Linked DNA regions of Arabidopsis thaliana. The protein of the gene in region 2 interacts with the protein of the main gene of each other region in a pairwise test. Each region holds a gene or a part of one and is shown on either strand. Other genes may lie near its edges.

Region 1 (6,349 bases), on a different chromosome or scaffold from region 2:
ATTGACAAACTACACAATTGCTCAAATTCAAGCAAAAGATGGGAATCTCTCTGAAAAGAGAAAACGCATTTTGTTAATTTACATCGTAAGCTTCGGAGATCTGCTTGAATTTGGCTTCGGCGTCTTTTTTGTTGTTAGGGTTCTTGTCTGGATGCCACTTCATGGCGAGTTTGCGATAAGCTTTCTTCAAGTCGTCGTCTTTCGCATTCCGATCCACCTGAAGAACCTTGTAATAATCGACCCCCATTGCTATACCTCCTCCTTCTTCTTCTTCCTCTTTGATTCGCTCTTCGAATTTCACTCGATCTTCTTCAATGGGAAAAACTCTAGCGGATCATTCCGTACCGGTTCGAAATATTTATCGAGATACAAGAAATACCCGACCGGTTCTTTTATTTGGTCTTTACCGGTTCTGTTTTTGGTTCGGCAAACCTAGCTCAAAAGTCAAACCTTATCAGAATTAAGAATCACGGTGTCGTTTCAAAGAGAGGAAATTTACACTTAGTAGCCCTATATATTTATTATTTAACATTTGACCCCACTAGTATATGTTTGTTACTTTACTTTAAGCGAGGGTGATAGTCAAATTATGAAATATCTGAGGGCCTAAAATGGAAATAAGTAAGAAGTTTTGGGGTGTTCTTAAAATGAAAAATCTGAAGAACAATATCATTGGTTAAATTCCTCTGAAAATCCAAAAGAATTAAAGATGACAGTTCTTCTTCCTCAGCTAAACCATATCCACAAGCTACCAGTAGTACTAAACCGACGCCTCCGACAATCATACAGATTACCAGTGATCTCCGCCGTTTCCGGTAAAGAGCTGATACTTTCCGGCAAGGTACGGGCGGTGGAGCCCAAAGAAGCCAATGCGGTTGTGGCGTCGGAGGGATATATACTGTTAGACGTGAGGCCGGCTTGGGAAAGAGAAAAGGCACGCGTGAAAGGTTCCTTACACGTGCCACTGTTCGTGGAAGATCCAGACAATGGGCCGATCACGTTGCTGAAGAAATGGATTCATTTGGGATATATTGGGCTTTGGACGGGCCAGAGATTCACCATGATCAATGACGAATTCGCCCTCCGTGTTGTGGAGGCTGTCCCGGACAAAGAGAGTAAAGTGCTCGTCGTGTGCGGTGAAGGACTCAGGTACCAGCTTTATATGTTGCATTTTGGTTAATCATTGCCAGTTTTAGTCCAGATTTTAGAGAAACTTATCAAACTAAATAAACTATTAATCAATCGATTTGATCATAGAATCTTTTGGTTTGGATAGTATAAATTAAACTGAACTCTTTGGTTCGGTTTGGTTGTTATAAATGGTGTTGCTTTTCAATCTCATTCTCAGGTCGTTGGCGGCTGTATCAAAGCTCCACGGAGAAGGGTACAAAAGCTTAGGGTGGTTAACCGGAGGGTTTAACCGAGTATCCGAGGGAGATTTTCCAGAGATCGAAGGGACCGAAGAGCTTCGGTTCGCCACGATAGGAGGTGTATCATTTTATTTACTCAAACTACTTGTACTGTTACCGTCTTTTGGCCAGAAGAGTCGTTAAATTGGTTTTTTGGAGCCAAGTGTGAAGACATTTTTTGTTTTTAAAATTGTGTCCGGTTTACACAATTGGTCACTGGTTTATTACTTACAGATGTCTTTCATTAGTTGAAATATTTTGTCCGAATCATTTGCTTCGGACAGCTAATCTCCAAACCTAGTAACAATTTACGTTTACACCCAAAGCCATTAGGCACGAGAGCACATTGTTGAGGGTAGCTTCGTAATTTACAAGAATGTTCATCCTCTCCCAGTCCTCTTTCTTCTTCCCTCGTCTGGTTTTCGAGAGGGAAAAAAAGAAAGAAATCCAGATCTACTAAAATCCCCAAATTCAATTTTCAAAATTTGAACTCCTAGAAAACCCTAGCCTTTGCAATTGGGTGCTACATCTTCCAAATCGTTCCGGGATCGAAATCTCTCGAATTGGGGACGTTGTACATTGCACACGATGGGCGATTTCAACCTCGCTCTCGTGATTGTCGCGATCGTTGTTTGCGTCATCGTATTCATCTCTAGCATCTATCTTCTCGTCAACTATCAGCATCCAGATGATGCAAACCAGGCTTATTTCCCCAAATTCGTCGTTGTTTTTGGCCTTTCTATTGCTATGATCTCGATTCTCATGTTACCGGCTGATGTGGCCAATCGGCATGCTTGTCGACATGCTATATACAATGGAGCTTGCAATCTCACCTTGCCCATGAAGGATCTTTGGCTTGCTATTTATATCGTGGACGCTATTCTCGTGTTCTTTGTCATCCCCTTCGCAATGTTTTTCTATGAAGGCGACCAGGACAAGTTCGTAGCTTGATGAAATTTTAGTATCTCTATGTTGTAAGTTTTGAGTTAATCGAATACTGATGACAATTTGTGGGCTTTTTTTCTTTCGTTTTTTCACAGGACTCTTGGAAAGAGGATAAAAAGTGCCTTAATTTGGGTAGTTACCACGGCTGTTGTTTGTGCTCTGGTGCTTGGAATTTTATATGGTTAGTTGTTCCTCTGTTTTCAATTCTTTTGTCGACTTGAAATTCAGCGTCTTTCTGTATTGACGAATGACGATAGTCTGGAGGTTATACTTGTTTAGCTGGAGTGGTTATTGAATCCATTAGTGAGCATGTGGCAAGGATGAATCTGATGTTGGTCTCTATGATTTGACTGCATTCTTATGTTAATTTTGGCTTTTAAATTACCCAATCAGGGCTTGGGTTGAGATATCTATCTTATCCATTTATATGCTAGGAATACCTTAACATTATTGGTAACATCTTCATCATGTAGGTGTCATTGGAAAGGTGGACTTCTCGGTCAGGCATTTGGCTTCTGCCACATCCACTTTCCCTACTTCCTGGCAGTTTTCAAATACTCAACCATGCATAGGTAACACTGCTCGCCAGGTATGTTTGCCTCTTGAATGTAGCATTAGCATTAGTTTTTATATCATGAGTCATTTATGCCGTAGAGAGTTTCAGCATTTAACATATTCCTGTCTCTGGCTATCAATGCAGTGCTCAGCATTTACAGCTAATCCCACATCTGAGAAAACATGGACTATGCGTACTACTTTTCCAGAATATGTTGTTGCTCTTGCGACAATTGTTGGGTCAGTTCTTTTCACGGTATGACCATTGTTCTTTCATGTTGAGAAGTGCATTGTTTGCTTTGAAAGGATTTAATCTGTCTTATATTGTTGATTCTTCATTGACTAACACAAACTCTCAACAGATGAGATGCATGGCAAGATATAATTCTGTATCCATTGAAGTAAATAGATGTTTGATTTATACATTTCAGTAAAAAAAATCTGATAACTAATTGTTCTCTCAAATATTTCTAGATATTTGGTGGTGTTGGTATTGCATGTCTACCATTAGGACTTATCACTGCATTCATCAGGCGACCAAAGGCTGTTATCACTCGATCACAATATATAAAGGTCTGGTTATTGTTCTCCTCTGGAAGCATCTCTCTAGATCTTGAGTCAATCCCTCTGTCTCTTGCATGATTAACTCCATAAATATATTACAGGAGGCAACCGAACTAGGTAAAAAGGCAAGAGAACTAAAGAAAGCAGCTGATGGACTTCATCAGGAAGAAAGAAGTGGTGCTAAGGGCAGGAAATGGCGGAAAAATGTGAAAGCAGTTGAAAAGGTACCTCATATATCTCAAGGTTCAGTATCTTATCTAAATTTTGTTTCATAAGTAGCAACTTGGAAAGTTTGCCTATTCATACTGGTCCCTTGTGTGTAAAGAGGCTTTGGTCGTCTGTGGAGTTATGAGAATGACAACTTGTAGTGAAAAGCTAGTGAGATAGTAGAATTGGTTATTGACTTTATTGGTAGCTTTTCTTTGCTTGGTTGTGGATTTAAGCTGTGTCCCCTCAATCCTATAATTGAATGTGGTAACCCTGCAGGAGTTGCTCCAATTGGAGGAAGATGTGAACCTCTTAGAAGAGATGTATCCTCAAGGAGAGCAGGTAAGACGAGTGTATCTTAGAACTTATACTATAATATTTTTCTTGTTCAACTATTTTATTCCCTGGTACCTTTTTCCAGGCAGAAACTGCATGGGCTTTCACTGTGCTCGGATACTTGGCCAAGTTTATTCTTGGAATCGTAGGGTTAGTACATCTAAGCAGAAACCTCCTTTGCATTTTTTTTTGTTACATGTTGTATAAATCATGCATAATGCATACAGTTCTTGCATATTTAGGTTTGCACTCTTAAGCTCCCGAGCTAAGCGTCTTTTTAAATGGCAAATTTTTAATGTCTTTGTAGATTGATCGTTTCCATTGCTTGGGTTGCACACATCATCATATATCTACTCGTCGACCCTCCTCTCTCCCCTTTTCTTAACGAGGTTTTCATTAAGCTTGATGATGTTTGGGGTAAGTTCATACTTTTGTCCTTGTTATCCTGTATAAGGTTTCTTCTTTGTTTCTAACTGACTCCATGCTGGTACGTGTGGAAATCTCCAGGTCTTTTAGGCACTGCTGCCTTTGCTTTCTTCTGTTTCTACCTTCTACTTGCTGTTATCGCTGGGGCAATGATGCTGGGTTTGAAGCTGGTCTTCATTACCATTCATCCAATGAAGTAATCCATCTAACCGGTTTCAACATTATTTGGCTATTTTCCAAGGTCATTCATTACCTTCTCTTGATTGCTGATTGGCCATATCAACTTATTTCAGATGGGGAGCTACTCTAATGAACTCTTTCCTCTTCAATGTCGGCCTCATTCTTCTTTGTTCAATCAGGTAAGTCTCTCTGGTCTCTTCTTCTGCCTTTGTATCTGTTGGGATCAAGTGCACTCTGATAAACGGATCTAGATCAAGCATGTTTATGTGCATACATTAACTTATCAGTGTTTTCATGCCATCACTAAAACTAATTTCCTTTCCGGCGAATGCCTGAATCGAAGTTTATAGTTACTTTACTCATGCACTTGGGTATCCTTTGTACTCTATTAGATGTCAAACCAAGACTTTTAATATACAGCTGCTACCCTCACAATTACATGTTAATCCTCACAGTCTGAGTAATGTGGTTCATTTAAAATGCAGCGTGATTCAATTTTGTGCCACTGCATTTGGATATTACGCTCAAGCCACTGCTGCCCAGGAGATATTTGGCCACACATTGCAGTCCCTTAGAGGAATTAAGTACCTTTACAAGTAAGTAGAAGTGGTATAACATATAGCAGTCATATGCTATATCCGTGATGCGTCTTATTGAGGTTTTATATTTCAGGTACAATGTGTTCCAAATCGGGTTTGTTATCCTGGCTGGACTGACTTTCCTATATTACATTGCCTTTGTAAGTCCTCGTTGATGTTACTCCTCGGGTTTTCTCTTCTGTATTAAGTATTTGTAGAATCATATGGTCTTTGGTGTTTTGGCAGGGATGGAGAAGAAAAAAAACTAGTGGCCGTTTCCAGCTCTCTTCTTAATGTAAAACGTTTTCACGGGGATCTGATTGAGTGCTGTCGACAAAGTTTCTACTTGTTTCTGGATCATCATCGATTCCAGAAGTATCTAGAGACTCTGCTTCTGAGGTTTATTTTCCTGAATGTATTATTAAATTTCTTGTGAGTGTGCTGTTTGGTTGCGCAACAGTTAGCTGTCCTGTCTTGGTCTATTGTACTGTCTCGGATGCGATCATGTAATCATATTTTCTTAATGAGAAGCCTTCTTCGAATTTTTACAAGACAGAGACTTCCTTTGTGGTTTGAGACAATTGTAACCGAACCTAACCGGATTATCAATATTCTTGAATTTGTTTAGTATGCAAGGCATACAACTATACAAGTGGACATGTGCTGCTGAAGTGACAAGTGGCGTTGCTATGCGATTCGTCAATAGCTTCTTTTGCCCAATCAGCTTGCTTGCCTCATCTAACTCTAAAAGACAGACAGGATAGATAACGCGAGCTTTTTATAGATAAGGCTGATTTTGTTTCCTACCGTCAGATGGATTTGTTTCTCCATCTAACCGTCAAGATTCGTTCTCTGAGATCTCTCCCACACACATACCGCCACTTAAAAACGCCATTTGCTTCAGATAAGTTACAAACCGCAAACGCGACAGAACTAACTAACGACGCCGGAGATGGCCGCCACTTCAACCGCCGCTGCTGCTTCTTCAATCATGGGTACCCGGGTGGTTTCCGACATTAGCTCCAATTCAAGCCGGTTCACAGCCCGGTTCGGATTCGGAACCAAGAAAGCATCTCCCAAAAAGGCTAAGACGGTTATCTCAGACCGGCCTCTATGGTTCCCAGGCGCAAAATCACCCGAATATCTCGA
Region 2 (4,010 bases):
TTTTGAGTATCGATTACAAAACTAAATTACCAAGTAATTAATTTATAAGAGAAATAGAAAATGAGTAAAATTTAAAAATTATTGAGAGATAGAAAATAGATCCCTTTAAATTTAGCTTATAATTCGAAAAATGTGCATGTTTTTATCTTAATCACTTACCGTGAGAAAGTATAGGAGTAAAATGATGTTATCGTAAAGTGCCAAACAACAAATCAAACTTGTGCTTAGCAAAAAAAAAAAAAAAAAAAAAACTGGTATCATTTGAGAACATGACTTAAAACGCAGCCGTTTAAATAAAAAAAGTTGGTTTCTCTGCATCCCATGTCTAGAGTCTAGAAGAGTGGTCTCGCTGCCGATCTCAGCAGGGAGAATAATTTGGCTCGGCTCAATCACTCTTGTGGATCAAATGCTCTTCTTCTTCTTCTTTTGTGTTTCAAGTCTTGAGAAGAAATCTAATCTCAAATTATTAGGATTTTGCACCATGTTTCCATCATCTCAGTTTATAGATATAATCAAATAATGAAATTATAGAGATGCATTGTGTCATTAGCTACTGATATGAATTCTAGCATAACTGATTCTATTATCTTTTTGTTCTTGAAGATCACAGTAGTGTGTAATAAAAAGGGGCATTGCTGCAGAAATATAGTCATCTCTCAGGTTAGCAGCTCTCTTTCACTTGTTAAAACTAGATTTTACCATCAACTGTATACTTCTTCCTTCTGTTTTGCCTGTCTATCAACTACAACATCTGCAAAAGTATCAGAAATTAATAGTAATGAAGAGTTTGGATATCTCGCAATTGTATCAGGATTCAAATAAGTTGTAATGAATTGGAATATACACTCGTAAATCACACACACATACAAATACACACTCACATGTTCTCTTATACACAAGCAACCCTAAAACACATCAACCATGTTCTGATTCTTTTCCTTCAAAATAGATACACAAAGTCTGTCTCCACACGCTCATTCCTCAGGCCTTACCTTCAGCTCTCGCAAAGGTGAGCCCAACGCAAGCATCAACAAATTCATTATCTATGAAATCAGTTGAGAATATCTGCAGTTTATCAGCACATCCTCTTTTTACACACTCTATGATGAATACCTTGGCGTAGCAATGTATCCTCTTAGTCACCGGTTTTACACACATTATTGGGTTATCGGGCTGCGGCGTCACTGTGTTCTCCACCCGGTAAAAGAATTTCCTTGAAGTAGCTGGTTGCTGCTGGCTCAAATGCTTGATGTTGCTCTCGAATTTGGTCGATGGAAGATCTGTATCGATCCAATTGTCTTTAAGGTAACCAGCGCTCCAAAGAGGATCACCATGCTTAGGCTGAGGCGATTTCCTCGGTTTCCAAACGCAGATCACTCTCTTGGGAAGCAGCTCAGCGACTGTCTTGGAGAACACGTGATCGTCCTGGTGAATCAGATGCTCTCCAAGCTGTTCCACAAGATACTTATCAAACTCCGGTGGGTCTTCGTGTCCAAACTCTGTTCTGATCTCAAGAATGACAATCTCCGACTCTGTTTCGGATAGAAACCGTTTGAGATCGGCCAAGACAACGTCGACACTATAAGTCTTGAGGATACCGTGGCATACACGGCGATCTTCTTGGACACGAATGTCAAGGACTCGAGTACCCGCCACGAGCTGGTTATAGATGGAGAGAGATTGGCACTTAGCAAAGGGACGAGACACGAATCGGATACCGATTTTGTTGGTGGCAGAGTCGTGCGTCCCAGGCCAGACGATCTTGTTGATGTGAAGCTTTTCAGGTCCAACGCCGGCCATCCAGTTTTTACGATCGGAAGGCATGTAATCACACCCCGGAAACTCGCAGCCGCACGATTTCTCGAGATCGGTGAGGGCTTTCTTCTCCGTGGAGATGGCTTTTCGCCGCTCGAGTTGTTTGGAAAGGTGAGAGCCCATTGCTGAGGATTAACCCTTTCCCTTTGCTCTCTCTTCTCTGATCACTATATTGAATTCTGTTCTCTCTTGTTTATAAAATGTTCCATGCCTTCTTTATCAATAAACCTTTACTCATAAGTCGTTATGATTGTTTTTTATTTACTTATTATTGGTTTGAAGAAGTTACGAATTATACGTTAATCTTTTAATAATTACGCTACTTTCTCAAAACACCGTTGACATATTCGCAAATTAGAAGTAACTTTCAACTTTTAACTTAACAAAAACCATAGAAAAAAAGTAGTAGCGTTTAATATGTAAGATTAACTGTTACAATTTTTATTGTGGGAACATTTTAGTGTTATAAATGTGAACTGATTGATTAGTTGAGATATATTGAAAGAGTGGTTGAGTTGTAATTGATGGGAGAGTGGGTTTACAATGTATGGTAGGTCCATTTTTGTTGTATAGCTGTCTTCACTGTTTGTTATTTGTCAATTTCTAATGCCTGGCTATTTTCCGACGTGAAAGATATCAATACAACGTGATTTTTATTTCTTGGAAGACACATATTCAAATTTTCTATGAAATAAAAGTCGTTCCTAAAATTTAAACAAGGCATCGATAATTAATATTTTGGATAAAATTCGGATAGGATCCGATGGAAAACCAATCATATACACTCACAGGCCCTATCATGTCTTTTGTAAGACTATCTCAAATATCACGATCCACACAACTAAGATATGTAAAAGAGATTACTAGTATAGATTTTGGGAATTGAGAAGAAAGATTGCAACATAATTAATCAATTTTGATCTCTTGATCATGCAAAATTCAGTTTTGATCTGAATAATTGATTTAGTTGGCCTTTTTATTGTTTTAATCGGAACATATGAATCGGTTAATAATGATAAACAGTAGCATCATATCGGAGAACAGCATCACCAGTCTTCATGTCAATCTTATTTGTTTTTACTTTGACAAAACCTCTCGCCATTCTGAATTTCCCACGGCCACCAACAATCGCGATTTCTCGCTCTCCGACCTCTTCCGCCACCGGATTCCTCGAGAAGATACTGATCGAGCTTCCATTAAACTTCCCTGCCGTGAAAGCCAAATCAGCGTACATGACGATCGTGAATTTGCTCAAGTCTTTGCACCCGGAGACATACATCCCTTGACCATTCCCGATCTCTTTCGAGTGTTTCTCCGGCCCGACGGTGAGCGGATCGTCTATCACAAACAGGCTTCCAAAACCTACCGGCGAAGCTGAGCCACCGGTTAGATTTGCATGTGCGATTCTAACGGCGGTAGGATTTTGGCCACTGAGAGTATCATGGAGATAAAATCTGACACGTGTCACTTTCTCCTCATTCAGTTTAGCCGGTTTGGTGTTGCCATAGTAGGATTCGTGACGCGCCATAACGGCCATGCTCAAACAGAGTGTGAAAAATATTATTAATGTGCTCTTCATAATTTATAAACTTAAGGAATTGATATGAAAGTTTACTATCCAAATGAATCTAGAACATATATATATATATATAGTTTGATCACTTGTAATTTTAGGAATGTTTACAGGAAAAAGATTTTCTCCTATAAAAAGAGGGTATATGTCATTATTTAGAAAATCTATTTGATATTTTTCTATATAACAAAAAGAAAATAGTAAATGCATATGATCCAGGTATTAACTTTGAAAATTTTCTGTCTGATATTGATGATATGTTCAAAATTGTAATAGTGTTTGACAACTTTGAAAACATGTAAAGAGATTTAATTATTTTAGAAAATTATGATTCTAAAAAGCTTTGAGATTCTGCCAAATAACTAGCATAAACTTTATTCGAGGTAAGGATATGTACCACGCGCACCTTAGGAGCGTTGAGCGCGTGTTATCAAAATGGGTAAGCTATATAGTCCAGCCAAAATGCCTATTTTTGATCAATTTTAATATATTCCCAGCTCTAAAGCGCGTGGTATTATCATATTCCCCGTCCCACTACATTCTGTGTGTTTGTACAGGTTGGATTTATTCCTCACCACATATATCTTAAGTGGACTGCACCGATCAAGAAGATTATAGAATA

What was found. Proteins that work in one complex are often made in the same cells at the same time.
Region 1: the proteins of AT4G38690 (region 2) and AT3G08930 interact in a protein complementation assay, tested with the Arabidopsis thaliana proteins (one large-scale study listed by BioGRID).

The regions. Positions count from the first base shown.
Region 1 is NC_003074.8:2,711,565-2,717,913, forward strand, and holds AT3G08930 (LMBR1-like membrane protein), read left to right. Parts: upstream 1-1,747; 5' UTR 1,748-1,997; coding exon 1,998-2,347; intron 2,348-2,449; coding exon 2,450-2,535; intron 2,536-2,827; coding exon 2,828-2,943; intron 2,944-3,054; coding exon 3,055-3,165; intron 3,166-3,383; coding exon 3,384-3,482; intron 3,483-3,574; coding exon 3,575-3,697; intron 3,698-3,959; coding exon 3,960-4,022; intron 4,023-4,101; coding exon 4,102-4,166; intron 4,167-4,323; coding exon 4,324-4,433; intron 4,434-4,523; coding exon 4,524-4,638; intron 4,639-4,735; coding exon 4,736-4,801; intron 4,802-5,107; coding exon 5,108-5,218; intron 5,219-5,294; coding exon 5,295-5,361; intron 5,362-5,446; coding exon 5,447-5,494; 3' UTR 5,495-5,802; downstream 5,803-6,349. Other genes in the region: AT3G08910 (DNAJ heat shock family protein), read right to left, coding at 83-247; AT3G08920 (Rhodanese/Cell cycle control phosphatase superfamily protein), read left to right, coding at 710-1,149, 1,349-1,553; LHCB4.2 (light harvesting complex photosystem II), read left to right, coding at 6,153-6,349.
Region 2 is NC_003075.7:18,073,762-18,077,771, forward strand, and holds AT4G38690 (PLC-like phosphodiesterases superfamily protein), read right to left. Parts: upstream 2,197-4,010; 5' UTR 1,939-2,196; coding exon 982-1,938; 3' UTR 559-981; downstream 1-558. Other genes in the region: AT4G38700 (Disease resistance-responsive (dirigent-like protein) family protein), read right to left, coding at 2,822-3,394.